Linked DNA regions of Rhinolophus ferrumequinum. The protein of the gene in region 2 interacts with the protein of the main gene of each other region in a biochemical or structural test. Links are inferred from orthologs where the notes say so. Each region holds a gene or a part of one and is shown on either strand. Other genes may lie near its edges. The genes, in order: GAS6 and AXL.

Region 1 (14,905 bases), on a different chromosome or scaffold from region 2:
AGCTCAAAGGTTCTTCTCTTTCCACCATGCACTTCCTCCCTGCCCCATCTTCACTCACTCCTGCCTCCCTCCCTCTGCTCTGCAAACTCGCCAGGACCACGACCAGGACTCAGGCTAGAGTGACGCTCTATGTTTCAGACTAAGGAAAGGTTAATCAGTCCATGGTAGGCAGAAATGGATGTTGTTTCTATGGAAAGATCCCTACAGCATTCCATAAAAGTACTTATTTTTGGCACTAAACCACATTATGGCAGACAACCATAATTGTTGCAACCTCTTGGTATGTCCTGTGCCAAGGGGGTCCTAGGACCCAGGACTTTTGATGTTAAAAATGAAACCATTCCTGGAAAAACAGGAACAAGAGGGTCACCTTCAGGGTAGGCCCTGGAGGACTTCTCCATAAAGGGATTTTTCACCTTAATGAGGTCTGATCACTTTCATTCACCATGGTAAGCAGTGTTTTCCAAACTTTTTGACCACACCCACAGTAATAAATACATTTTACATCATGACCCAGTGCACACTCAGAAAATAAATAGAGTGGAAATGAAGAACTAACATCTAATAAACTCTGATATCCTCTATTCTATTCTGCATCGTTAAAAAACTGCTGGTTAACAAAATAATAAATTGATTTCAAGACCTATCATTGGGTTGCAAAACATGGAAGAAACACTTACCAACTAATTTTGTGAAGCCAGAAATTCTTGGATACCAAACCAGATAACAATAATACAAAAAAAAAAAATACCCAAGAGAATACCAAGATGGAGCAGTAGGTAAACACTGTGCTTACTTTCTTTCATGACCACATCAAAATTACAACTAAATTACAAAACAACCATCATTGAGAATCACCTAAATTCTTGCTGAACTGAAGCCCTACAACTTAGGACACACATAAGAAGCCACCTCCAGACGGGTAGGATGGGTAAAGACTCAGAACAGGTTGGTCCCACACCTGTGTGTGACCATTAAAGATCAGGAGGATATTTCATCTGTGGAGGTCCCTCCCACCCCTCAGAGGAGCAAGAGGTCCTAGCCCCACCCCAGCCCTGGGTTCTAGTGCCAGAGAGAGAAAAACCCCATAATTTCTGGTTGTGAAAACCAGCGGACATTGTGACTGAGTGAGACAGAGGGTGGCTAGAGTCCCAGATGCTCCTCTTAAAGGAACATTGCACGGATTTTCCCACCCACGGAATCACTCGCTCTGAGCTTCAGTGCTGGGGCAGCAGCTGGAAAGGTGGTAGGGACCTATGGTGGAGAACTGAGTTGTCTGCCTTGGGACAGGGGCTGGAGAGGTGGCTTTCTCCTGGACAGAGTAGCTGGCAGATGTCATTGTTTCTTTGTTGAGCCATCCCCCTTCCTGGCATGCGCACGCAGGGCGGGGTATCTGAATCTGCCAGGTATCTGAGTCTCTGCTGTTTGTTTGCCACACCCTGGTGATTTGAGACCCTGCCCCACCAACTTTCAGACACACCCAAGCCACTTCCAGAGGCTTTTTCATACAAACTGCCTGCCTTAGCTCATGCTGCAGATGTTCCTAGGGTCTCTCAAAGCTTCATGGAACCCAGAAAGCAGCATCAGGCTTGAGCGTGTCCTATACCTCTGGCTGAGCAGCCCTAAGCTCAGCACTAGCAGAAGCCAGCCTTGGTTCACAGCTTGGCCTCTCTACGCACTTTCAAGCATGGCACAGGCGGCAGCCATCTGTGGATTTCTTTCTGGCTCCCACTAGGTGGCTCCAGGTGGAGCAGGGGCTGTGGCTGAAATTGACCTACAGTGGATCTCTTCCAAGGTGGTCTTGGGGCTAACCCCCAGTGGACAGCTTCAAAATTAGTTGGTATATCACCCAGCCACCTCCAAAAATGACACACCCATGGGGCAGATTGGGCAGGCACCAGGGTGCTGCTGAGGGAATTCCTGCTCTGTATTATCAGTCCCTGCACAACAATTCTTCCACTGTAGTTATGGCCATTCCTCACAACCAGTGAGCCCATTGAGCACCCATTGATGTGCAATTATCAACCAAGGCTCAACTACAAGAGGAGGGCACACACAATCCACACAAGGGACACACCCGGAGTATGCGGCTCAGGTGACCAGAAAGGACTGCACCACCACGCCCTATAGCACACCCACTACATAAGAACATTCTACTAAGACTGGGAGACATAGCAGCCCTACCTAATACAGAGAAGCAAACACAGGGAGGCAGCCAAAATGAGGAATCAAAGAAACATATCTCAAATAAAGGAACAGAACAAAGCTCCAGAAAAAGGACTAAACAAAATGAAGAAAGGCAATCTACCAGACGCAGAGTTCCAAACGTTGGTTATAAGGATGTTCAATGATCTCAGGGAGAACTTTAACAAAGAGATAGGAAACATAAAAATGGAGATAGAAAACATGAAAAAGAACCAGTCAGAAATAAAGAATACAATAACAGAAATGAAGACTATATCACAGGGAATCAAAAGTAGATTCCATGAACAGAGGATCCAACCAGTGATATAGAAGATAAAGTAGTAGAAAACACCCAACCAGAACAGCAAAAAGAATCCAAAAAATTGAGGAGAGTTTAAGGGGCCTCTGGGACAATATCAAGCATATGAACATTTTCATCATAGAGGTACCAGAAGGACAAGAGCGAGCACAAGGAATTGAAAACCTATTTGAAGAAATAATGACAGAAAACTTTCCTAACCTGGTGAAGGAAATAGATATACAAGCCCAGAAAGTACAGAGAGTCCCAAACAAGATGAACCCAAAAAGGCCAACACCAAGACACATCATAATTAAAATGCCAAAGGTTAAAGACAAAGAGAGAATCTTAAAAGTAGCAAGAGAAAAGCAGTTAGTTACCTATAAGGGAGCCCCCATAAGACTGTCAGCTGATTTCTCAACAGAAACTTTGCAGACCAGAAGGGATTGGCAGGAAATATAAGTGATGAAAAGCAAGGACTTACAACCAAGATTACTCTACCCAGCAAAGTTATCATTTAGAATTGAAGGACAGATAAGGAGCTTTCCAGACAAGAAAAAGCTAAAGGAGTTCATCACCACCAAACCAGTATTACAAGGAATCTTAGAGGGACTTCTTTAAGAACGAAGTGGGGTTAGGGATAGTTGCAAAGAGGAAGGGATTAAGAAGTATAAATTGGTTGTTACATAGTAGTCATGGGGATGTAGGTTATAGCATAAGGAATATAGTCAATAACATTGTAATAACTATGTATGGTGCCAGATAGGTACTAGATCTATCAGGGTGATGGGGTTGGGGGCAGGGTGAAAAAGGTGAAGGTATTAAGAAATACAAATTGATAGTTACAAAATAGTCATGGAGATGTAAAGTATAAGGAATATAATCAATAATATGGTAATAACTATGTATAGTGCCAGGTGGAACTAGTCAGGGAGATCACTTCCTAAATTATATAAATGTCTAACCACTATACTATATACTTGAAACTAATATAAAATAATATTGAATGTCAACTCTAATTGAAAAATTTAGAGGACCTGAAGAGACATTTCTCCAAAGAGGACATACAAATGGCAAATAGACATATGAAAAAATGCTCAACATCACTAATTATCAGAGAAATGCAAATAAAAACCACAATGAGATATCACCTCACCCCAGTCAGAATGGCTACCATCAACAAGACAAATAGTAACAAGTGTTGGAGAGGCTGTGGAGAAAAAGGAACCCTCATACACTGTTGGTGGGAATGCAGACTGGTGCAGCCGTTATGGAAGGCAGTGTGGAGGTTCCCAAAAAAATTACGAATAGAATTACCATATGACCCAGCAATCCCTCTCCTGGGTATCTACTCAAAAAATCTGAAAACATTTATACATAAAGACACATGTGCTCCAATGTTCATCGCAGCTTTGTTTATGGTGGCCAAGACATGGAAACAACCAAAATGTCCTTCGATAGATAATGGATAAAGAAGTTGTGGTATATATACATAATGGAATACTATTCGGTGGTAAGAAAAGATGATATAGGAACATTTGTGACAACATTGATGGATCTTGAGAGTATGATGCTAAGTGAAATAAGTCAGACAGAAAAAGCAGAGAACCATATGATCTCACTGATATGTGGTATATAAACCAAAAACAACAAAAGAACAAGACAAACAAATGAGAAACAAAAACTCATTGACACAGACAATAGTTTAGTGGTTACCAGAGGGTAAGGGGGGTGGGGGGTGGAAGATGAGGGTAAGGGGGATCAAATATATGGTGATGGACGGAGAACTGACTCTGGGTGGTGAACACACAATGGGATTTATAAATGATGTAATACAGAATTTTACACCTGAAATCTATGTAATTTCACTAACAATTGTCACCCCAATAAATTCAAAAAAGAAAAATTTAAAAAGGGGGGAAAAGAGCAATAATATTGTGATAGTGTGGTACAGTGTCAGATGGTTGCTGGACTTATCATGGTGATCACTTCTTTAGCATAGGAAATAAAATCAATAATGTGGTAATAACACTGTATAGTACGAGGTGGGTACTGTTGAATAACTATGATGTATACCTGAAACTAATATAATATTGTATGCTAGCTGTATTTTAATTAAAAATCTTAAAATAAATAAATAAAAGAAAAATAGTCTATTCTAAAAAGAAAAGAAATACCCTCATAACATGGAAGCAAAGATTCTTAACAAAAATATTGCAAACTGAATCCAACCATAGTTTATAAAATGACCAACTGGGGTTTATCCCAGGGATGCAAGGTTTATTTAACATTTGAAAATCAATCAAGACAACTCACATTTTAATGAGTACAAAAAAAGAAGAAACATATGATTGTCTCACTAGATGCAGAAAAAGAATTTGACAAAACCCAATATCTATTACTAATTTTAAAAAACCTTGCATAAAATTAGAAATAGAAAGGAACTGCCTCATATCGATAAAAAGCATCTCTGAAAATCCTACAGCTAACATTATGCTTAATGATGAAATACTGAATTATTTCCCTAGGGTCAGGAACAAGACAGACATATCCACTGTCATGATTTCTAGTCAACATTGTAATGGAGGTTACTAGACAGACAATAAAGCAAGAAAAGGAGTAAAATCACCCAGATTTGAAAGAAGGAAGTAAAATGTCTATATTTACAAATAATCATCTTGTTATTTTGCATAATTATCTATGTAAAAAATCCTATTGAATCTACCAAAAAAAACATTGAAATTAATAATTTAGTTAAGCAAAGTTGTAGAAGACAAATATACAAAAATCAAATGTTTAAAGAATCAGAAATTGAAATTTAAAAATTTGCAATAGGATGAAAAATATAAAATATTTAGGAACACATTCAAAATGAATCATAACCATAAATGTAAAACTTAAATCTATAAAATTAAGAACATCTTTGTGACCTTAGATTAGGAAAATATAATCCCAAAGGCAGACTTCATTAAAAATTATAGAAACTGTACTTCAAAATTAAGAACTCTGTTCTTTGAAAAGCAGAGTTTTCATTATTTAATGGAATGAAAAGAAAAGTCACAGACTGAAAGAAGAAACTATGTGGTAATCGCACATCTGATAAAGGACTTGTATCCAGAATATTTAAAGAACTCTTATAACGCATCAAATAATTCAATAATTGGAAAAGGAAACATCCCAAGTAAAAGAAAAAAAGATAAGAAAATTTAAACAGACACTTCATCAAAAACTACATTTGGATGGCAATAAGCACATTAAACAACATCATTAGTATCAGAAAAATGCAAATTCAAGCCACAATGAGATACCACTATACACCTAACTACTAGAAATGCCTAAAATTAACGACTAACTACAGCAGCTGGAATTCTCACACTGCTGGTTGGAATGTAAAATGGTAATCGCTTTGAAAAACATTTTGTCAGTTTCTTAAAAAGTTAAGCAAATACCTATCACATGGTCCAATCATTCTGCTCTTAATATTTCCCCAAGAGAAATGAAAGTTTATATGCATACAATAACTTGTATACAATGTTCATAGCTACTTTATTGGTAATAGCCAATAACTGGAAACAAAAATGATAAACAAATTGTGGCAGATCCATACAACAAAATACTACTGAGCAATAGAAAGGAATAAACTATTGATATACACAACAATGCAGACAAACCTGAAAATATGCTGAGTGAAAAAAAAACAGACAAAAAAGTCTGCATACCGTATGATGCCGTTTATGTAAAAATTCCAGAAAATGCCCACTGTTCCATAGTGACAGAAAGCGGGCCGGTGGTTTTGCCTAGGGATGGAGATGAGGATGGGGCAAAGACGTTCAGAAGAGACGGATGACCAGAGGGAATGAGGAACTGTTTTTGAGTGATGGGTATGTTCTTAACTTGATTGTGCTGGTGGTTTCTCAGGTATATACATATATCATTGATGTGTCGAAACTTATGTGTGGAGTTGGTTGTATTTTCACTACATCTCAGCAAAGCTGTTTAAAAAACAAACAAAACCCAAATATGATTGGTTTGGTCAGCACTCAGCACAGTGTCTTTTAAGACAAATAGCAAGTACAGTTGCTTGAACAACACAGGTATGAACTGTGCAGGTGGGTCCTGCACATGGATGGTTTTCAATAAAATACATTTTGTCCTCCATATCCCCAGGTTTCACATCTGCAGGTTCAACCAACCACAGATCGAAAACAGTGTTTTCGATCCAGGGTTGGAAATTCACGGATGTGGAGGGCTGACTGTATGCATTGTTCTATGCCATTTTATATAAGGGATTTTTGACCATCTACAGATTTTGGTATCCAAAGGGGTTCATGGAACCAATCCCCCTTGGATACCTAGGAATGACTGTTGTTAATTAAGTTTCTGGGGAGTCAAAAGTTATAGGTGGATTTTTGACTGTGGGGGGGAGTTGGCTACCCCCCTCCCCATGTTGTTCAAGAGTTAACTGTACTCAACTCACATTTATCGAGTGGATACCTAAATGAATGGTCTTATTACCTTGAAATCACCCACAGATGTGATGACAGAACGGCGAACGGAGAAGTTTCATTTCTCTACAAACACCTCATTTCCTACCTTACCTCCTACCTCACCTCCATACTTTCATCCCCGTTTATCCTTGGAAAGAGGAACCACTGGCTTTCCACCTCCTGATCATGGGCTGGTTGTCCATATAAAGCAGGGGTGTCCAAAGTTTTTTCAACGTTTTTCACCAAGGGCCATATGCGGTAAAATACACAAACAGCCGGGCCACTCACTCGAGGTGAAGTACGTATTTCCTCACCTGGTTTATTTATGTAAACCAAATATAGTTTTGGAATTTGTTGCGGGCCAATTAAAAATGGATTGCGGGCCGTAGTTGGCCCATGAGCCGCAGTTTGGACACCCCTGATATAAAGCATCCATTGCCCCGAGTCTAACCTGCCCCTTGTGGAGGTGAACTGTCTACTTCATCATTGCTATTTCAAGGTATATAATATAGTGCCTGACAACTCTTTCTGATTTTGGAACACCTTATCCAAATTGTTTCTTATTCATTTTCTATTTCTGCCTTAGAGTAAATTTTATGCATTCGTAACTAGGTTGAAAAATTGGGCCTTAGCTTGGGTCAAGCATCCTCCACTGCTCCCCATGATTGCTTTCTGCATTCCGCAGTTATCAGAATCAAAATGAGCGAGTGTCTGTGAATGCTTTTTATTAAATGAAGTCTCTATGTAACGGGAGGTGTCATGATTATTGGGATACCAATTCAGTAGGAGTGAATGGGGAATATGGAAAAGGGGAGTGAGGTCCGGGCTAACAGGTCAGGGGACCTGAAAGACTGTCCAGTGTGGCCATACTGATGCCTGGTCACCTGAAGCAGTGGGTTGACACCCAGGCAGACCCTCCCAGAGGGACATACATAGAGGCCAGAATGCTCATTCTTATTCAGATCAAACTGAGAACTGCATAGACTCTATAAACTGTCTTCTCCAAACACACAAATAACGGAGAAAAACACTGCAAACAATTTCTAGGAATTCACACACATCTTGAGATCTATCCATGGGCTGCTAGCTTAGAACCCCTGAGAAATAATAGATAGATGTTCTCAAATACAATAGTCTTTCTAAGCTCCGTGGTGTTTGCTGGGTGCTGTCATCACTAGGCTGCATTTGAGTTGCTAGCTGACAAAGAAGTGCCTTGTTACTCTAGTTCAGACACAGGTACAGATGGCTTATCTTTTATTTTTTTATTCAATTTTTCCCCCCACCCCTGGCTTATCTTTTAAATTGTCAATTCTTTGAAGATGGTCCTCAAGAACATTAATTTCCCAGAATTTAACATATTAATGTGCATTAACCCCACCTTCAAACCAATGACCTTAAAGAATTCTACCAGCAACGCTATTTCCTTCTCCTACTACAGAAGGGGAGCGGCAACTGAGAGGTCCAGACTGTCTGTGTTGAACCCACCAAGCAAAATGACCAACCGTTTGGGGTGGAGATGACTCACTGCCCCTTTTCTCATCATTTTGAGTGCATAGGGGAGGAGGTGTGTCCAGAGCAGTTTTCTCCAGAGGCAGGGTTCAGGCCTCCGCTCCTGCTGCATTGCCTGCTGTGGTCCCCTTTGAGTGGTCTGCTATGTGTTGGTTTCTTTTGGTGTTTTTTGCCTGTGACTTTGCGAACTATCCCGGGAGGAGAGACAGAAAGTCTTGGTATCTGTGAACAAGCACAATGTTGCTTTCAGCTTAAATATCCACTGGGAAACCTCAAGGTTTTCAATGTCATTATTATGGAAAACAAAGATTACAAAAGGAAATAACTTAATGTCACTCCCCGGTCCCCATTGGGATTCAGTTTGACCTCGGTTTATCTTTTCTTTGGTGGGTTTTAAGTCTTGAGAAAATCTACCCAAGAATGAAGAATCCACAAAGGATGTGGTAGACTTGGGTTGAGGGCGGTGGGATGGGGAGGGAGGTTTAAATCTGCTAACTGGTCAACTTGTACTTGGTCACGTTGTACCTGGGTGTTATTTCTTCTGTCCTTTTCCCCTTCCGAATTAATACAATCAATCGCGACTCCGGAGAAATTCCTCCGGGGCGCACTAGTTTCAGCAGCCCGCCTGTAAAGTCGCCACGCCCCGATGACCTGTTTCCCCTTCAATCTTTGATCTTCATAGCTAAAACCTGCTCGGGCGCCGGGAGGCTGGTGGGAGCTGGCGGCCCCGCCCGCCCGGCGCGGCCCCGAGGCCAGTCCTGCCCCCGGCCGCGCGCCCCGCCCCGGCCACCCCCGGCCGCGCCGCGGCCTCCGCCCAGACCGGCTGCGAGCCCGAGGTGCAGCCGCCGCCGTGATGTGACCTTCAGAGCCGCCTGCACAGGATGACCGGAGCCACCGCCCCGCGGCGCCCGCGGCTCGCCACGGCCTCCCGGGCGCTCTGACCGCGCGCGCTCCCGGCTGCCCGCCCGTCTCCCGTCCCCGGTCCGCTTCCCTGGCCCTTGGCCCGGTCCTCGCCATGCCGCCGCCGCCCGGACCTGCCACCGCCCTGGGCACCGCGCTGCTGCTGCTCCTGCTGGCCTCGGAGTCTGCGCACAGTGAGTACCGCGTAGGGGCCGCGGCGCTGGCTGGATCGAGAGACCCTCCCTCAAAAGATCCCGCCACCCCCGGGACAAGGGCAGAGCCAGTGCCCGCACCCCAACCGGTCCCCGTGCTCCCCCGGCCGGTGCGCTCCCGCCCAGCCACCGCATCCCCAGGCCCGCTGCTGGGAGGACCGAGCGTGCGGGGCCCGGGTTAACAGCGTGTCCCGGCTCTCTCTTCGCTCTCTCCCCGCTGCGTCCTCCCGCCGGCATCGGTGCAGCCGTGATGCTGCGGGCGCGCGAGGCGGCTCAGTTCCTGCGGCCCAGGCAGCGCCGCGCCTACCAGGTCTTCGAGGAGGCCAAGCAGGGCCACCTGGAGAGGGAATGCATCGAGGAGCTGTGCAGCAAGGAGGAGGCCCGGGAGGTGTTCGAGAACGACCCCGAGACGGTGAGCGCGGGGGCCGGATGCGCCAGCGCTGTGCCGGGGAGGTGGGCAGGTGGGAGGTGTGCGCCGCGGCTGGGCGGGACTGCCGTGCGGAGCTCTAGGGCCGACAGGTCACCTCGAGCGCTGTCCCTGCAGCACCGCATTTCTGGGGACATCCATCAGTGCGCGCCCTGGTGGGGAGCCCCGGGGTTCCCCAGGCACCCCAGAGTTCCCTTCCCAGACTCTACGGTGAGTCCCTCATGTGGGGGCTACAAGTCACACTCTGAACTCTTAAATATGGAGACATCGTGTTCAGGAATAGTGAAAGGGCAAGGATTTAGGGTGTCGGAATCCCGGCCCGCCCTCAAGCGTCCTCCGCACCTTTTGAGCCTCAATTCTCCAGGTGACCCCCAGGTGCTCTGGTTAGCTGGAGGCAGGAGCACATCTTTGAGCGGGGTCCTGTGGAGCCCCTGCAGTTAGTTCCCTTCATTATCAGACCTCTAGAGGCAGACACCGTAAAGGAAATACGCTATATATGGCCCCTCCGCCAGAAGGCAAGAGAGGCCGTTTGTAAAATGTAAAAGAAATGCCTTGGTTAAAAAACCCAAACAGCTTCGTACCTTCCCTCCGCCTTAGCTGGATTGGAGGTGAGGGGTGGGGCTGTCCAGGCTTCTTGAACCTCATGGAGAGGATGGAGGGTTTGCCAGAAAGAGGAAGTGAAAGATGTGAGGGCTAGAATTGCTTGCAGTAGCAGGTCCTAAAATATGATTACAGGAATAGTGCTAGACCATATATTGGGGGGAGGTAGGATGGAGGGGAGGGGGCACAGAGTCAGGGGGACCTAAGGGAGGAAAGTGCAAAAGCTCCCCCTCACACACAGGCACCAGCCCCTTTCAGCAAGATGCTCCTTTAGAAGCATCTGGTGACTTCAGGAGCCTGATGGTGCTGGCTCAGGACTTATTTCTATTAATAATGTCCTTGGAGAATGTGGGGCGCCAGGCAGCCAACTGCAGAGAGCAGCTCAGGTGTGGACTTGGTCTGTGCAGGAGCTGTGTGATCTTAAGGGACAGGAGATGTGTAAGAACATTTGTGGTGGTTATGACCTGTGGGACCTAACGGAAGCCCTAGATATCTGTTACAGAGCAAATAACTTGGGAAAATAGAAGTGATAGAAGTGGGGTGGACTTACATTACGTCACTTTATGCTGTGAGATCAGGGTGATTTCACAGCTGTTTTGGGTTCTGTCAGATTTTTTGCTTTTAAAGAATTCCTCTGGAATGAAATAAATGTCACATGCAATAAACGAATGGCTCTGTGTGACTGAAGTAGGCTTCTTTTCGACTTATATTTCTGATTGGTTGACTTGACAATCCCTTTTAAGTCCTCTTTCTGAAAACTGGCTTTAAAATTATTGACTCTTTTGTGCAGCTCTCTAGCTATGGTAGCGTTATTTTCTCCATTGTCACTGCTTTCAGTGTCAATAGCAACACAGTTGTATGTAGCAGGTTTGCCAGTCTTTACTGACCCCACTGTTTCCCCGTTTCTTAATGATGAATCCTGGTGACTCAGTGAATCATGCTCCTGCAGAGGATTTCTGAAGGTCCTAGCAGCAGGGCTGTGTGCCTGGCCACCCAAGGTCACTGCCCAGTTATGGAATTGTATGACAGGTGCAGTGTTCTCTATCCCCATGCCTACTCTGGACTGTTGCTTGTGCAGAAAATGTGGGATGGGGCTTGCAGGCGACAAGAGTTGAGAGTAACAAGGCTGCCATCCACCCAACCAGCCCTTTCCCTGCCCCCACCCCAGTTTACCAGGACAGAAAAACCCTGGCCCGGCTTTCCCTTGCTGTCTGGACATACTACCCATTAACCACAGTGCCACTTTTCTCAGAATGTTTATCCTGTCTCTGACTGTAATTGCTGTTATGTTATCATTTTAACTTTATTTGCAAATGTATGGAGTGAAGATGAGGAAAAAAAAGTGTTCTCAATCCCATAACTTGAACGCAACCATTGTTCTTTCAGAGTGGGTCTGCGTGCAGGGACTTTGCTCTTTCCTGTGAGAGCTTGGCTTTCCCTCCCTTCCGAGGCATAGCCGAGTTGCTTTAAGGCTGCGGGTGGCGTCCTCTCTCACAGTCTGGTCCCATCAGGAGTTTGTAAACTCCTTTTCATATCAAAGCATTTTATAATTTTCTAGAATTCTATCCTCCTTCCCAACACTGACCCCCAAATAGTAAGTATCTTTTGTTATTTATCAGCTTCCCAGGTTGGACTGGTTACTTCTGTATCTTCCCTCCCAATCAGTTGGATTGCAAGCCCTTCATTTTAACTTGAACCTTGCATCTTGTGTAGACTGTTGTCTAGACCATGTGCTCTGTCTGGATTTGGCCCTTGGCTTGTTTTCCTTTTCCCAGAGAGGCAGTGTAGAATGCTGAGAGGAGCCAGATTAGGGTTGGGGTCAGGAGTCAGAGTTAGAGGTCATGGGGTTGATTCGAGTCCCAGCTGCTCCGGTAGACCAGTTGTCCACTTCAATGTCCATATTTTCCATTTCATCCAACTCCTTGCTTTGGGGAGCTCCATGCTCTCTGGGGTGGAGAGACCCTCCAAATACAATTCATTGCTAATGTATCATAGTAAAAACAGCACTTTTGAAAGAGGCAGTCCTGCGAAATAGCCAATGAGTTCCTCTGCTCCAAAAAGTTTGGGGCTCTCACTAGGAAATATTTATTCCTTGCTCCAAAAGTAGCTCATTTTGCATTTTTTTTTTTTTATATTGAGGCTGATGGTCACCAGGATGGTGAACACTGACCTTATTTAGTTTAAGAAGTGCCCAGGACCTGGCCGTGTGACTGCCACAGGACCTCGAGGGCCACAGTGCCCTAATGTGAATGGCTGCCCCAGAATTGGCGTTTCTTGAATTGTGATCACCTGACTGTCTCATAGTGGTGCTTGTAGGAGATGCCAGTCCTCACAAACCAGGGCCACCTTCATGGCTGATTCCACCTGCCCCGCCTCACTGTCTACCAGGTTAGGGTGCTGGAAGTGGCTGGCCTGTCCTCAATGTCTGGCCCAGTTGTAGACACACTTGCCCAGCTTAGGCTCTACCTTTGACGGAGTTTACAACACTTCTCTTTCCTGCTGTACTACCTCTCCTGTTGCCATTCCTGGGACTCTGGGGGTACGGTACCCTGGTAGAGGAAGCCCCAGGGAGGGACTGGGAGAGCTGGGGGCGGGGGGCTTGGGCACCTGGATCCAGCTCTATAGGCTGCAAATCCCCTTACTGAAATTTGGAGGTTTGTGTTTGTTGAGCACATGCTCTGTGTTGGGTGTGCTCTAGGTTTTCCTTTCTGATCTGGATCTTTCCAAACTGGGCTGTCTTCCTCTTTTTGGGGAGGGAAGGTGCCTGACTTTTAAAGCTCTTCTCCTTTTAGCAGTTAGCTGTTAGCACAATTCCTGAGGTTATCACACACTTGTGCTGGAAAGGAAGGGAAACTGGGTGGGGTGGGGTGGGGCTGGTGGTGCCTTCTTGAGTCTCACATCTTGGCCACCAGCTTCCTTCCTGGGGGCAGATGATCTCCCTCTGGCATGGAGGGGCCAAATGGTCTCCCAGCCACATTCTTTCAGGCTCTAGGGGAGTGCCCGGCCACCCATGGTTGCCACTGCTAATCCCTGTCCCTCCTCTCCAGAGTCCAAGGGGTGATTACATTCCCTCCTTATCTTGTTTCCTTTTATGTTATTCTCTCTTCCTGGTATTTCCCTCTCCCTTGTTTTTCTGCCTTCTGGGACCATGGGTCGTCAATCCCCCAGCTGTCTCTGCTGGGATTCTCCTGAGTTCTTCTGAAAGCTCACCCAGGCCAGCCCAGAAGAGTCACCTTTCTACTTAAATTCTTTAAGGCAAGTGGGTTCCAGACACTTTAAAGACACCATCTCAGTGATTATCCTTTGCTTCTGGAAAGCATTCTGGATAAAAGTTTACCCCTGCCTGACCTGCTGCCCAGGTACATGTCACCACCTGGCAACACCTGGTGCTTGCTCCTGCAGCTAAGCCATGACGCTGATAGGAAAACAATTCCAGGTTGCAGTTTTTGACCCCACCACCTGGTTTAATTTGAGATACAAACAACAATAATTACAATATTAGTAACTGGCTGGTGATACACCCTGAGAATTCACAGCATGCATGGCCACTGGCTCGTGTTGGAGGGCGTCTCTCCCACCCCCGTGTCTCTCTGTCTCTCTCTCTCTCTCTCTCTCTCTCTCTCTCTCTCTATATATATATATATATATATATATATATATATACACACATATATACCTCTCGCCCTCTTTGTCTCTGCACCCATCTCTCTCTACTTCACCCCCATTCCCCCCGTTCCAGCTCTCACAGACATAGTGGACCCAGCTGTGGTGATGGGGTTTCTACTTCAGAGGGTTTAGGGGTACAGTCAGTTTCAGAACCCTACAGTGCTGCTGGCCATGTCTTGAACTGCGTCTGCCCTCCAAGGACACCCATCTTCCTGAGGTTCCAGATTATTTGGGGACAGCTTGGATAGGAGGACCCCCTACAGAGGTGAAAGACCCTCCCTCAAATCTTGCCTTTCTGGCGTGGCCTCAGGGATCTCATGAGGGCAGAAGTGGGCCCTGCAGGAGGGTGGGGAGGGAGGAGGAGTACCTTGTCACTCCCAGTGACTTTCCTGTGCAATGCCGGTCCCCTGGCTGGAGTGGTGACACTGGCTGTGTCACCTCCAGGATAGCTGCTGCCCACCTGCCCCCAGCACCCCACTCTGCCTTGATAGCAACCCTCTCAACATATGCACATACACACCTACACACACTCAGGCACACACACACATGTACACGCATACACAGTCCTGTACCCACACATACACAGACACTCAGACACATACATGCATACAGACACACACAG
Region 2 (15,412 bases):
CAACATAAGAAGCACAGACACACAGATACACAACACACACAGCCACACAATATACACAGATGCGCACACACACACACACACACACACACACACACACACACGCTGTCTGGGTGACCTGATGAAAGGAGGACCACGTCTTAAGTCTGTATGTGTGACTGAAGTTCTGTGCCTGTCGGTATTTCTGTGCTGATGTGTGGCTGGGGATGTTGGGAGCTTGCGTATGTCTCTTGTGCTTGTTCTGCGCGTGTGTGCCTGTGTTCCCACCACCACCATCTACCCGCAGACACAAAGTTTCCTATTCTTAGTCAGCAGAGGGAGTGGAAGAAGGGAAAGTCGGCAGAGGCCGGAAGGGGGTGGGCAGGGAAGGTCCTCAGCTCCTCTGCCCAGACGCCAGTTCCCAGCCAAGGTCAGGTGCCCGCCCGCAACCCCCGCTGCCTGGGGGAGGGACATGACAGCCCCGGGCAGGCCGACAGCCCGCGGGGGCAGGGAGCCTGGGTTTTGTCCAGGCACCTGGCACGTGGGGACCCGTCAGGGTCACTGCACGGGAGCTCCCGCTGCCCACTAGAGGAGCCCTGGGCAGGAGGGGGGTCCTGGAGCCCGGTCCTGTTCCAACCGCAGCATTCCTGCCCCCGCATGAGTGAGTCACCAGGAGCCCCCCCTTCCCTGCGCACTTTCAGCTGGCCTTGTGGGGCACAGCCCAGGATCCCCCTTCCCAGGCCCCAGCACCTTGAGGGAGAGCGAGAGAGAGAAAAAGAGCAGGGACAAAGGGGTCTGGGACCCCTCCCCTCCAGCAGGCTCTCCCTTCATGACTGGAGCAGATGCGCTTTCCAGATGCACTGTCCAGCTCCCCTCTGCTCCTGCTGCTCCCCCCACCCTGTGCTTTTTCCGATGGAATGAGAGCGATGGAAGGAGAAAGGGAGCATGTACTGAGTCAGACTGAGGGACAGACACACACAAACGGATGAAATTCCCCGAGACAGCCCCCTCCACACACACTTAATGAATCACGCTTAACACACAGTGACTGTTGGCACAAAACCAGAAAATGCAGCACTCACTAAGCTACACGCAGGGCTGATGCTCTCACACATATAGTGACAAATATACACTCAGTGACTTACATGTATACACACAGGGGCTGACAGTGACACATATACAGGAAGAGACACAAACATAAACATATGATCAAATGCGCATACATTGACTACAAACACCTAGCAAGATAACACACACCTAGGCTGCTGCTGACAGACAAACAAACCTCCCTGCATATTGAAACGCACACACCCAGCGACAATCATACATCGAGGCTGAAGCAGACAGACAGGTACACACCAGGACCCAAAAAAGTTCATGTGGGTTTGCTCACACACAAGCACAGCCAAGCCTTCAAAACACAGCTGGACAGACTCAGGATGCTTCAGACACATTCACCGAGATGCCGACTAATACAAAAGCGCACACACACGTAGGGTTACGGCAGACACACAAGTGTGAAGAAGCTGCCATGTGCACACGGACGGCACAGACACACTTTACACACTGGCTGCTCAGCGCCCATGTTCATCCACCAAAAGGCCACTCAGGCCAGACAGAAGCAGAAGGGTGCTGTTACTACCTGCTGTGAATCTCACACACACACACACACACACACACACAGAAACAACCACAGAAGCTACCCTCTCTAAGACACACCCTCGTGCAAAGAGGTTGATGCTAACAGACACCGAGACACACGTGGAGAGGGACACGGACACACACGGCTTCCCCCCCGCGCGCGCACACACACACACACACACACACACACACACACAGCTCCACCACACAGTGGTACCATGTGGTCCCCCCCACCCCCAGTTCTCCTTCTTCCTGGGACGGTGTGGGGGAACCAGCCCCCTCCCCCACCCCCACTCCAGGATCCTACCAGGCTGACTCAGGCCCCAAAGCCGGGGCCCTGAGTCACCTTTCTGGGGGTTGGCATGCTCACCACCACTTCCTTGCACACTTAGGGCCCCTGGAATGCTGGGAATGTGGGCACCTCCCTCTACCCCAGGAGACCCTAGGTCAGAAGTCCCCTCCCCATCCCAGCACACGGAAGCTGATACCCTTTGGAGTCCAGCCATTTCCTTCTGACTGACTGAGCCTCACTCTTCTATGTCCCTCTCTCCTTCCTCAGTGAGGGGGAACCCCTGCTACTTCAGTCCCCTAGCACTGCCTCTGGCCTCTGTGTGACCCCAAGCTAGGTCCTGCCTCGTCTGTGTGGTGTGGAAGGGGACGGTTACCCTGAGGCTGGAGTGACCCTGCCTGGGGATGGTTACCCTGAGGGACAGACCTTCCTGTCCTGTCTCTCCATCGCGGGTTACCCCTGTGGTCTGTTTCTTCTTGTGTCCCTGGTTTTCTTTCTCTCTGTAACTGTTTTTTCTCTGCCTCCCACTTTTTCCCCACTCTTTGCCCCAGTGGGGCCCTTCAGTAACAGAGGTGGGCAGGTTGGGGGAGGTGGAAGAGAGGAAGGCATGGTTGATTCCAGTGCCCTGCTTGGGGTCTAGTGCTGACAAAGGACCATTGGGCCCACAGACACTATGGGCCATGGAACAGCTCAGAGGAAACCCAAGACAAAGAATTCTATTCAGAGAGAGTCTGGGGTAAATGGAGGGAAAAAGAGCAGAGACACAGAGAAACCAAGAGAGATGGAGAACAGAGACACAAAGAGATGGAGAAAGCATACGGAGAGAACAGAGGAGGTAGACAGGAGCAGAGATGCAGAGGCAGAGTCAGAGACAAAGAGAGACACAGGGACAGAGACAGACAGACCACAGAGGGACAGACAGACACACACAGGCATGAAGGGCTCCCTTGCCCGCCACTTCCATCCTTCCAAGGCTTCTGCACTGACCTGGCCATATATCCATACTCACCTGGAACATGCAGTATGTGGTGGGGGCCGTGGCCCGTGGCCGGAGCCAGGGGGACAGCATCCTGGAGCCAGAGTAGGTCCACAGGCTCTGGAGGTCCCTGGGCCCGGCAGCTCAGGTTAAAGGGGGTGTTGGCGGCCACAGTCCTGTCCTCAGGCTCCTCCAGGAAGTAGGGCAAGCCTGGGTGGGGGGCGGTGGTAGAGGCTGGGATCCCTCTGAGCCCCACAGGTGTCTGTTTTACTGCTAAGTTATTGGAGGCTATAGGGTCTTTAACCCCTATATCTGTCCCCTCAGGTCTCTGTCCCCAGGACACATGATCCCAATATCTGACTTCCCCCGACCAATGTGGGATCCCCAAGATATTTGATCCGTTCATGTCTCTTTTGCAGAATGTCTGACTTCTAATTTTACCAACGAGGAAGGGAGGCCCCTGGGGATGAGGGCGAGGGTTGTCATGCCTCTGACTCCTTATCTGATTCCAGAATGTCCTACTCCAACCATGACTGACCCCAGGACATCCAACAACCCCCAAGATGTCTTCTTCCCCAGGACATGTAATTCCACCTAGCCCTGTCCCCCTGACCCCCCAAGATCTCTGACATTTCTAGGCTGGAATGCCAGGGAACATGCTGAATCCTCCAGCACCTTCTAACCTCTCTGGATTCCTGACCTCCCATGACCTCTGAGCCCAGGGCTCACCCTCCAGCCCGACAAAGCCAGGCTGGGACACGAAGGTCCTTCCTCCCAGGACCACCGCACACTGGTACCATCCCGTGTCCGAGAGCTGCAGGGACGAGATTCTGACAGGGACAAAGGAGGGACAGAAGAGTTCAGGTTAGAGCTGGACACTGGGAAGGGGTCATCAGAACTGAAAGAGGGGGACCTGGACTGGAAACTCATGAGAGCTAAGCAGCGGGCACTATAATTAACTCATTTTGCAGAAGAGGAAAGCGAAACCCAGCATTACGTCACATGCTCAAAGCCACACAGCTATTGAGTAGCCAGACTAGGGTTCTAAATCAGGTGGAGCTCCTGCAGGTGACTCTTCACCCACCATATGACGGACATGGGGGCACAGGGGTCAAGGGGAACGTAGGGCATGACTGGTCAGGGAGAAACTGGTCACCTGAGTTGGCTGATCACTTTCCAGTCATCCTCTCCGTCTTCGTCCAGGGGCACTTGGATCTGGGTGCTGTCCACCAGGTCTAGGACCTGTCCATCCCGAAGCCAGGTCACCTCAGGGGGATCCTCACGAACCAGGAGCTCACACTGAAGGGCCCCTGTGAGTCCCCGGGCACCAGTGATGTTCCCCGGGCTCCCTACAAAGGGGTCCACCTCCGCCTGTGAGCCTGCAGGAAGATGGGGAAGAGTCAGCGTAGGAGCCCCCGCTTCCCTCCACTCCTCAGTTCCAGCCCTCCTGGCCTGCCTAAGGCTGCCAGGACCCTGCTAGGCCTTTAGGCCCACATAGTTGTAGAGTGACCTCAACGGGGGGTGGAGGGAGGAGGCTTTGAGGGGAGGATGGGAGCCTTCCCAGGAGACTGGGGTCCGGCCTCCATCCTTGTCCAGCCTCCATCCTTCATCGTTGGGAAGTAGGCCCGGGATCTGGCAGCCTCCCACGCCCCAGACTGCCTTCAGGGCCAGCCCTTGCCCCCATGCCCTCTTTTAGGGTCTCTAGAGACTTGATAAATCAGGCTGGTGAATGGCGGGAAGAAAAGGGAGAGAGAGAGAGAGAGAGAGTCAGGGCCACTGGGAATCAGAGATAGAGAGAAGCAGAGACCCGGAGAGAGAGCGGGAATGAGAGCTGAAGAGAGAGACACCCCAGAGGGGAAAAACGTGGGGGGAGAGACACACAAAGGGAAACAGAGACTGAGAGAGACACTGATAGAGACATCTAGAAAATGGGGAGAAACAAAGACAGAGACAGGGAGACAGGGAAAGAGATGGCAGAGCTGGAGCCAGATCCAGGCACCCCACCCCAGAGATGGAGCAGACAGAGACAGTGGTGGGGCAGCAACAAGTGGAGGAGTGACTGTACCAGGGTTTTCCCTAGGGTTCTCAAGCCCTCCTCGCCTCGCTGTCTGACTGAGTGCTCCTTTCTGGAACATTCCTTCCCTCTCAGCCCCCATCTCAGACTCTCTCCCCAGGGCCCCCCATTCAAGTGCAGCTCCCACCCCTGCCCTCAGCTTCTCCTGGGTGTCTGTCTTTCTGTCGGTCCATCTCTTCCCGTCTCTGACCCTCCTAGTTTCTGTTTCTTGTCCCTCTGTTCCTCTCTTGGAACCCCTTCTGTCCCTGGTCTCTGGGTTTGTCTGTGTCTCCCTGTTTCCCTCTGTTGTCCCAAGGAATTTCCCTGAGCCAGCGCAGGACTCACCTGCCATCCACCCCCCTCCGCTCCCTTCTGCCTCAGCCCCTCCACGGGTGGTCTTCCCCCACAAGCCCCCATCACTCACCCTTGGGGACCACGCACCCCCAGCAGCACAGCGCCAACCACAGGGCCAGCGGGACCCTGCCCATCCTCCGGGCACCGCGCTCGCGGCTTCTCTGCCAAACTTTCCTCAGAAGTTGTTGGGCACACCGTGGGGGAGGGGGCAGGGCCGGGCTGTCCCCGGCCCTCCCCCCAGCTCCACGCTCCCCGGCTTTGGCACTGTCCGACTGGCAAGGCAGGGACGCCTCCCGGCTCCTCTTGGTGGCTGCCTTCCTGCTCCTCGGCCTCTTCTCTCCCTCCCAGATCTCGTCAAACCTTTTCTCCCCCGCCCCTGGCTCCCCCTGCCTCCGCCCACCAGGCCTGGAGCCCAGGGGACACCTGGACTTTGAGGGGTTAACTTAGAGAGAAGAGGACCAGCCGTCTTAAAGGGGCCCTGAAGGGAGGCTGAGGAAGAGAAGGGGCCCTGGTGGCTGCGCCCCTAAGTCTGGGCCAGCTGGGCCAGCGAGACTGGGAGGCTGTGCGTCTCTCTACCAGCTCTGGGCGCTGTCCCTCTGGGCTCTCTTGGTGTCCGGTAAACATTCCTCCAGAACTCCACTCCCCTCTCAGCCTGTGTGAGCCCCCCCTCCCGGGCCTCCACCCCTAGCCCAGCCCCAGCCCGACACTCCCCTCGCACTCACAGCTCCTCCTCAGACAAGGACACACACACACACACACACACACACACACACACACACACATAGATGTCATGGAAGCACAGAGGCTGGGACAGGAGAAGACACGCAGGGGCACGCTGCCGGCCCACGGGACATATTCAGAAGACAAGTTGGGTCAGGAACTCCATTCCTGGAGAAACCTCAGAAACCAGAACCAGGAGAACACCTGCTAGGTGGGCATCCCTGGGGTATACTCAGGGTACTCCTGGGAGACCAGAGCTTCACGCAAAAAAGACACACCTGGGTGCAGAAACAGGACCACAGCTTGTTCTGTGGGAGCCACCCACAGGGGTGCCTAAAGACCCAGGCTGGGAACCCAGCCCTACCAGGAACCATGTGACCTTGGAAGTGACTGGTCTCCCTGCACCTCAGTTTGTCCATCTGTAAGGTGGGAATGAGAATAGAATCCACTTACCAGACTAGAGGGAGGATGTCCTGGGTTAGTGAACATTCAGTTCTTTGCACATGGTGACTGTGGTGACAACAGCTGACAAGGTGCCCTTGACTTTTTTGCATCTCATCTGTGTGTCTCTGTGTACTTGCATTGGGGTCTCCCTCTGGTGGGATTGTGTATCCTGCTCCTTGCAGATCCAGTGCCTGTGGGTTGGTTCTGCTATGTGTCCATTTTCATGCCCCTATGTGTTTTGTACATGGGGGTCTCTGCTGTCACGAGAATGTCTGGGTTTGAATTAGAGCAACGAACAAACATTAAATGTCTTGTTAAACTTGGCAAGAGTGCAAGTGAAATCAGGGACATGTTAGTCCAAGTTTATGGGGATAATGTCATGAAGAAAACAGCAGTGTACAAACGGATTAAACGTTTTTCTGAGGGAAGAGAATGCGTTACTGACGAAGAGAGGTCAGGGTGGCCAGTAACGAGCAGAACTGACGAAAACATTGCAAAAATTCATCGAATTGTGCATCAAAATCATCGGCTGACGGTGAGAAGCATAGCAGACCAAGTAAACATCAATAGAAAAACAGTTAGGAAAATCTTTTTTTTTTTTTTTAAGATTTTATTGGGGAAGGGGAAAAGGATTTTATTGGGGAACAGTGTGTATTTCCAGGACTTTTTATTGGGGAACAGTAGTGTGTTTTTCCCAGGACTCATCAGCTCCACCCAAGTCAAGTTGTTGTCCTTTCAATTTTAGTTGTGGAGGGTGCAACTCAGCTCCAGTAGCCATTGTTAGATGCAGGGGGCCACAGCCCACCATCCCTTGCGGGAGTCGAACTGGCAACCCCTTGTGGTTGAGAGGACACACTCCAAGCAACTGAGCCATCCGGGAGCTTAGCAGCAGCTCAGCTCAAGGTGCCGTGTTCAATCTTAGTTGCAGGCAGAGCCCACCATGCCTGTGGGAGTCGAGGAGTCCAGGAGTCCAACCGGCAACATTGTGGTTGAAAGCCCACGCTCCAACCAACTGAGCCATCTGGCTACCCGGGAGCTCAGCGGCAGCTCATTGACTTCATTCTAGTTGCAGAGGGCGCAGCTTGCTGGCCAATGTGGGAATCGAACCAGCAGCCCTGTTGCCCAGAACTCGCACTCTAACCAACTGAGCCACCCATCAACCTCCAGTTAGGAAAATCTTAACTGAAAACCTTGGTATCAGAAAGGTGTTTGCAAAAATGGTCCCGACGGAGCTCACTGATGAACAAAAGCAAAGGAGAGTAGAAGTTTGCCAAGATCTTTTGGAGAGGCAAGATGATGTTTTGGACAATGTTATCATTGGTGATGAAACATGGGTATACCAACACGACCCTGAAACAAAGCATCAAAATGCACGATGGAAGTCAGCCAATTCACGACCAAAAAGTTCTGTCAGTCCAAATCAAGAGTCAAAACAATGTTGCTAAACTTTTTTGATATCAGAGAAATTAGTCATTGTGAATTTGTACCAACTGGACAAACAATTAACCAAGCTTACTATTTGGAAGTGCTGAAAAGACTGCGTGAAAAGGTAGACCACCTGGACTTTTGGCCAATTCATGGCTCTTGTATCACGACAATGCACCAGCTCACATGGCACTGTCTGTGAGAGAGTTTTTAGTCAGTAAACAAATAACTGTATTGGAACACCCTTTCTACTCACATAATCTGGCTCCCAATGACTTCTTTCTTTACCCGAAGATAAAGGAAATATTGAAAGGAAGACATTTGGATGAGATTCAAGACATCAAGGGTAATATGACAACAGCTCTGATGGCCATTCCAGAAAAAGAGTTCCAAAGTTGCTTTGAAGGATGGACTACATGCTGGCATCAGTGCATAGCTTCCCAAGAGGAGTATTTCGAAGGTGACCGTAGTGATATTCAACAATGAGATATGTAGTACTAGTTCTAGGATGAGTTCATGAACTTAATGGTCAGACCTCATTTTTGCAATTTACTATCAAATGCATTTAAAAAATGAGGTGGATAGAAATGTTCCCTGTGCCATGGGCTGGAGATTCCACAGTGAGCAAGACAAATCTCTGCTCTCATGGAGCTCATATTCCTAGGGAAAGTGTGACAACAACCAGATAAGCATTTATCAGAATGCAACATGAGCAGTGAAGAAAAATAAAGCAGGGGAGAGAATAGCAAAGTGTGGGAGCATCATTTTAGAGAAGGTGGCCAAGGAGGGCCTCTCTGAGGTTATGATCAAGATCTGAAGTAAATTAGCAAGTGAGTCATGTAGGGAAGGGCATTCCAGGCAGAGATAACAGACAGTGCAAAGGCCTGGAGGTAGGCTGTGCAGAAATTCAAGGAAGAGACCCATGTGGCTGAAAAGCATGGGTGTCAGGGAGGAGGTGAGGTCAGGGAGGGCCTTGGCCTAGCGAGAACTTTGGCTATTTTAATAATGACATAACCCACTGGCTTTATTGAGATATAATTGACAAATAAAATTGAACAAACTTAAAGTGTATAACATGATTTAATACACACACACACACACACACACACACACACACACTCGTATTTTCATTTTCATCTTAACAGTTTTTAATGAAAGCTGTACATAAGATTACTTTATACCTGCATCTTCTCAATTGTTTCTTCCTTATATTTGCCCTTTTCCTTTCCTACTTAGCAAGATTTGGCTTTCCATTTAAGGTTCTTTTTACGGTTTTCGTCCAGCTTTGGTCTAGTGATAACCACCTTGCTGGGGTGAATGCCCCCCTGAACAGTTGTGCCATTAGCCTTCTTCCACTGCACGGCTCGATGTAGATGACGTATTTCTTCCTGTAACCCTGGACTACTTTGCCAATTTGCTGCCCTGTGTAATATCCTCGTACAACTTGTATTTTATCATCCTTTCGGATGGGCACGGATCGGACATTGTACTTCTGTCTCAGCTCTTTGGAGAGAGAAGACATAATCTTCCTGCGAATGTGGGAAGGCGCATTGAAATGCCTTTTACCGTTCTTGCTCTGGTCAGAAGTCACAAAAATGTTGAACTTCATTTTGGCTGCTGGTTCTTCAGCGATGGCAGCAGAATGGAAGAGCTGTATGTATGTATTTTGAAATGATTCCCACAATAAAGTTAGTTAACACATCCATCACCTCAAATAGTTGCCATTTTTTGTGTGTGGTGAGAACATTTAAGATCCACTCTGTTAGTAAATTTCAATTATACACTACAGTATTATTAACTATAATCACCATGTTATATATTAGATCCTTGAACTTATTCATTTTTATAACTGAAAGTTTGTACCCTTGACTAACATCTTCTCATATCTCTCATTCCCCAGCCCCTGGCCATCACCATTCTGCCCCTTGTTTCTTTTTAATTAATTAATTAATTAATTTTTATTGAGATATAATTGACATAACATTACATTTGTTTCAGGTGTATAACATAGTAATTCAGTATTCGTACATACTGCAAAATGATTACCACAGTAAGTCTAGTTAACATCCCTCATCATATATAGTTACAAAAGTTTTGTTTCTGGTGATGGAAACTTTTAGGATCTACTCTCTTAGCAACTTTCAAATATACAGTACAGTATTATTGTATTGTACAATATTATTAACTATGTCATCATGCTGTACATTACATCTGTCTCTGTTTCTATGAGTACAGCTTTTTTAGATTCTACATATATGAGTAACTAAGATCATAAGATCATAGAGTATTAATATTTGCTTTTCTCTGTCTGATTTATTTCACTTGGCATAGTACCCTCAAGTTCCATCCATATTGTCACAAGTTGTAGGATTTCCTTTTTATGGTTGAATAATATTCCATTTTATACATTTTACACACACACACACACACACACACTCAGCTGACCCTCAAACAACACAGGTTTGAATTGTGCAGGTTCAGTTATATGCAGATTTTTTTTTTTTAATTGGGGAATATTTGGGAATAGTGTAGTTTTCCAGGATGTCAAGTTGTTGTTTTCAATCTACGTTGAAAGGCATAGTTGTGGAGGGCACAGTTCACTGGCCCATCTGGGAATCGAACTGGCAACCTTGCTGTTAAGAGCTTGTGCTCTAACCAACTGAGCCATCCGGCCACCCCCAGATTTTTTTCAATAAATATTCTAGATGTATTTTCACTTCCTTATGACTCTCTTGACATCTTAGTTTCTCTAGGTTACTGTATTGTAAGAATACAGTAGTATATAATACATATAGCATACAAAATATGCATTAATCAACTGTTTATATTACCAGTAAAGCTTCCAGTCAACAGTAGGCTATTAGCAGTTAAGTTTTTGGGGAGTCAAAAGTTACACACGTACCTATAGCAAAGGTAGTTTTATCCTTATGGATGTTTTAAAAAATGGCTACTGATTTTTTGACTCTTCCTATTAAGGTCTATGTCCTGTCCTCTTGAATCTTGCTATTTTAGAGAAACCTGCTCTTTTTTTCATAACTTGTCCTCAATTGCCAAAATCTGGACACCCTAGGATACCTTTGCTTGGTGAGGACATCCAATCATGTGGGTTGACTAAACTTAAATTGCACCCTCTGGTAGACTCGATATAGTTGGGTCTTGTTTTTATATTTAGTCTGAATCTCTGCCTTTTGATTGAAATATTTGGTCCATTTGCATTTAATATGATTATTAAGATAATTGGACTTGTGTCTACCATTTTGCTATTTGTTTCATCTGGTTTTTGTCCCTTAATTCTATTTTCTTGTCCTTTTTTGATTTAATAAAATATTTGATTAAACTTTAAAAAAGTTATACATGGATTTTCAACTACACGGGGTGGGGGGGTTGTAGCCCCTTACCCACGTTTTTCAAGGGTCAAATGTATATTACATTTTCTTTATTCATTCATTTGATGGTGGACATTTAGGTTGTTTCTATGTCTTGGCTATTGTGAAGAATACTGCCATGACCACGGGGTGCAGATATCTCTTTGAGGTACTGATTTCTTTTCCTTTGGATATATACTCAGAAGTGGGATTGCTGGGTCATATGGTAATTTTATATTTAATTTCTTGAAGGACTTCCATACCGTTTTTTTACAGTGGCTGCACCAATTTACATCCCCACCAACAGTGCGCCAGGCGTCCCCACTGGGTGGCTCTGAGCAGACCTGATTTGATTTGGTTTTAAAGGGCCCCTCTGCTAAAGCCAGTAAGTGGAAAGTTAACAGGAAACTTTCTACCAGAGGGGTCAGGACCTAGATGCACTACGGTACCACTGTTTATTAGGATGTGATGCTCGAGGAAGGGACCAGCACCTCCAATGAGGAGCTCTTGCCAGATGAGCCCAAATCATATCTAATTCCCAGGTTATAGGGAATTCCTGGGAATGGAAGGACAGCTTGAGCGGCATCACAAAGATGTCTCTTCCTTAACACAGGAAGTTAGAATCTGGCCCTTGCCAAATCCGGGATATGAAAAAATTGTACAGGAAAAAGGACCCAGTTTCTTCAAGAAATAAGTGGCACTCAAAAGGTGGGGGAATGGTTGCAGACATAGAAGACCTAAGATGGTTTAAACGAAGGCAACATGTGGTGAGCCTTGGGCCCTTGTTTGAAGAAACCCAATTATAAATTACACTCAGGAGACTGTCAGGAATCTGAGAACACTGATGGCAGAACTGCTCAGTGTGTTAGCTGTGAAAATGGGTATGGTTGTGACTTTTAAAAAGCAATTTTTAAAGGGCAAGCTATTGTTTTAAAAAATTACGAGTCTTTTTTGGGGATAATGAAATTTGAGAGTAGAGATAGTGGTGATGGTTACGCAGGGAATGTATTTAATGCCACCGAATTGTACACTTATGGTTAAAATGATAACTATGGTTATGCATATTTTACCATACACACACACACACAAACTGTACAGATTCTAAATACTTTTATTTTGGGGTCCAATAACACTTTATTGCTTAAACTATTTTGAGTTTATATTTTGCTTGCAACTGAAATCAGCCTAACTCATGTCACCTTTCATATTGATGCAGTGCAAAATCCATCCTTTCTTAAATGAGTTTGCTTGTATTTCTGATCCCAAATTTCCCTGAATGTGAATTGTGAGTGAAAAGGAAAGCAAGTCATTGCTTAGTTTAAAAAGAGAAAACCTTAAACCTCATTCATTCCTTTTCATGTCACCGTTAAGAAATGTCCAAACCTGTAGAGAACTTTAAAAAAAAAACTTTATTTAAGTGTGTCTTTCCAGGACCCATCAACTCCAAGTCAAGTAGTTGTTTCAATCTAGTTGTGGAGGGCACAGTTCACAGTGGCCCATGCGGGGATCGAACCGGCAACCTTGTTAAGAGCACTGTGCTCTAACCAACTGAGCTATTCAGCCACCCCTAGAGAACTTTTGAGAGTTTGAGCCAAACTGACAATCACTGGGAAGCAAAATCTCAACGGACTGAGAAACACTCCAGAGAATGGAGTTTTGCAGCTTCTTTTAGACATTAGAATCAAAGGAGACGTAAGGAGGGTTACATGGAATCCATTGGTGGTAGATTAAGGGGACGAGAGAAAGCAAAGAGGGAAATCTCTGGGATTGTATAAAAAGTAAAACGGAGAGACACATACTCCTTTTACATTGGCGAGTACAGGATAGTTAAGAATTAACATTTGTAGTACACAGAGATGGTATGCGGAGAACAAGATAACAAGAGGGGTTCTGTGATGTCGCGCTCTGGTGCTGGCGCTTGTGCCCAGGGGTCTGGAAAAAGAGATTACTCTGACATTTCAAAGCTTTGTTATGTTAGATGCAAAAAGACAGGCTTCTTAAGGCAAAGACTGATGTTTGTCAAGGAGGCTACAGGCCTAGGATGGGACTACCCGCCATGAGTCCCTTTTAGTTAGGAATTTTTATGTCCAGACCATCCTGCGTGGTTACTTTCAGTCTCAGAGTTTGTAAGGCCCGCCACACTTGTCAGGTTTAGTATGTGGCCCTTTTTTTGTCCACAACATTGATGCATAAAAAATCCGTAATAATAGCAAACCCACGGACTTAGCTTGTATTTTGTTCCGATTGAGTCCCAGAATTTTTCACATTTTAGTCTTTTAGATGCTATACTCTAAGTCAAGGGGTGATTAGCTTTAGAGTGGCAAAGTTAGGATCTGATCCTACTCTCATCTTTCAATTCTCTATATCACTGTTCTGGGCTACCTCTATAGAACTTAAGCCAAAATAAATAAATACATATAAATAAAATAAAATAAAGGGATAATATTGTGGAAAACTAGAAAAAAAGACTTTAATGATACATGCATTGCTGAATGAAGCATTCAGGGGCAGATAAACTGGTATCTGCATTTTACTTTGAAACGCCTAACAAAGTTAGCTGGATGGACAGGTGGATAGAAATGTGCTAAAGCAAACCAAATCCAGGCAGTGGCACACGGAAGAGTGGGTGGCTTCCTCGTGTAATTCCCCCAACTTTGCTGCATGTTTGAAAATTCACGTAATAAAACTTTGTGGGGGGATGTTCTTTACTATTAGAAATGCATATTCAATGATTTAAAAATAATTATAAGGGTGATGGATGAAATAAAACTAGCAGAAAACGGTATAAAAATAGCAGAGAGGGGATGATTACCAAATGAGGCCAGTGGGGTTTATTGTACTAGTCTCTCTACTTTTGTTTAAAAGCTTCCTTAATAGATAATTAACAAATAAAAAGATGCTTCTCGTTTCTTTTCTTAGAGAAGGCAGGAGAAAAAGGATAGTGGAAGAGGCGGGCGTAGGGTTAGGGTTTGTATTTCAGCATCTGCTTTCAGATTGGGAGAGTTCCCAGGGCTTGGATACATCACTTTCAGGCTTCTCTGGCAGAGGCACCCCCACCCACAGGCATGCAGTTCTGCCGTTACCTTCTCCCTGCCCCCCCCAGCCCTCCCTCATCTGCCTCACCGGAAGTGAGTCCAGAAGAGGCCCCCCTCCCCCAACCTCACATCTGGTACTGATGTCAACAGCCAGGGTGGGCGGGGGCCATGTTTTTCAGCTCCCGCCCAGCCTCGAGGGAGGGGTGGACCCTCCATTCCCACCCCTTACAATGATGGACACTGTCACACACACACACACACACACACACGGCCCTGCCACGGGGCTGGACCGGGGGCCAGAAACAAACTTTTATTGCAAAACACGGACCTTCCAGTCCAAGGACAGCAGACCTGGCCTCTTCCCTGACATAAGGAGTTGAAATCTGGCCCCTACTTGGTTGTCTAGCCCCTTCCAGTGAGTCTAACTAGGACTTTGAGTAGGGCTGGTGGGTCACTGTGTGCATTGGGGGCGGGGGCAGAAGGGGCAAGGGAGGCTTTCAACACGGTTATATAAGCTGGAGTGCGTGGAAGGTTCCTCTGATCTGAGGGTCCTTGTGTGTCCAAGTTTACTTGGTTCCCAGGCCTGTGTGCACAACTGCACACTGGGGGTGTATTTGTATTTGGAAGAATTTGGAGTTAGGATACTTGGAAAAGGGTGTCCTTGAGGGCTGAAGGTGCAGAGGCAGGCTATGACTCAGTGGGAGTGGGGTGTCTCTGTGGGAAGATAGTCAGGAGCTAGGACAACGTCACTCGTGGGCTGGCTGAGTGGCTTAGTGGTTGGGGGTGTGTGGATGGTGATGGTCATGTGCCTGGACAGGGTGTGGTCATTTGAGGGCTGAGGACAGGGACAGTCTCTCTGGGAGGTGACATGACCCAGGAGGGGGCATGTTCTATGCACCAGGCTCCCAGAGATGGTGGCACTGGTAAGTTTGATGACTGACGAAGGTGTGTGGGTGCTGAACACAGTGGCTGTTTTGGTGGCTTTGTGAAGGTGGCAGCTGAACTCCCACGTGTGGGTTGCGAGTCCAGGCGAGTTGTGTTGTGTGTGAGTTAGTAGGTTATCTGAGCATGTGGTTGTGATTCCAATAGACGATGTCTGTAGAAAGCTTGAGTGGCCTTGTGGCCTTCTTGTGT

The links.
Region 1: the proteins of AXL (region 2) and GAS6 form a complex in vitro, tested with the Homo sapiens proteins (2 studies listed by BioGRID and IntAct, with this or other methods). The link is inferred for Rhinolophus ferrumequinum from reciprocal best matches to the Homo sapiens genes AXL and GAS6.

Annotation. Positions count from the first base shown.
Region 1 is NC_046287.1:56,166,850-56,181,754, reverse strand, and holds the start of GAS6 (growth arrest-specific protein 6), read left to right. Parts: upstream 1-9,307; 5' UTR 9,308-9,493; coding exon 9,494-9,572; intron 9,573-9,835; coding exon 9,836-10,002; intron 10,003-14,905. UniProt on the Homo sapiens protein: Ligand for tyrosine-protein kinase receptors AXL, TYRO3 and MER whose signaling is implicated in cell growth and survival, cell adhesion and cell migration.
Region 2 is NC_046298.1:39,557,064-39,572,475, reverse strand, and holds the start of AXL (tyrosine-protein kinase receptor UFO), read right to left. Parts: upstream 5,923-15,412; 5' UTR 5,424-5,922; coding exon 5,360-5,423; intron 4,262-5,359; coding exon 4,039-4,261; intron 3,713-4,038; coding exon 3,612-3,712; intron 3,093-3,611; coding exon 2,916-3,092; intron 1-2,915. UniProt on the Homo sapiens protein: Receptor tyrosine kinase that transduces signals from the extracellular matrix into the cytoplasm by binding growth factor GAS6 and which is thus regulating many physiological processes including cell survival, cell proliferation, migration and differentiation.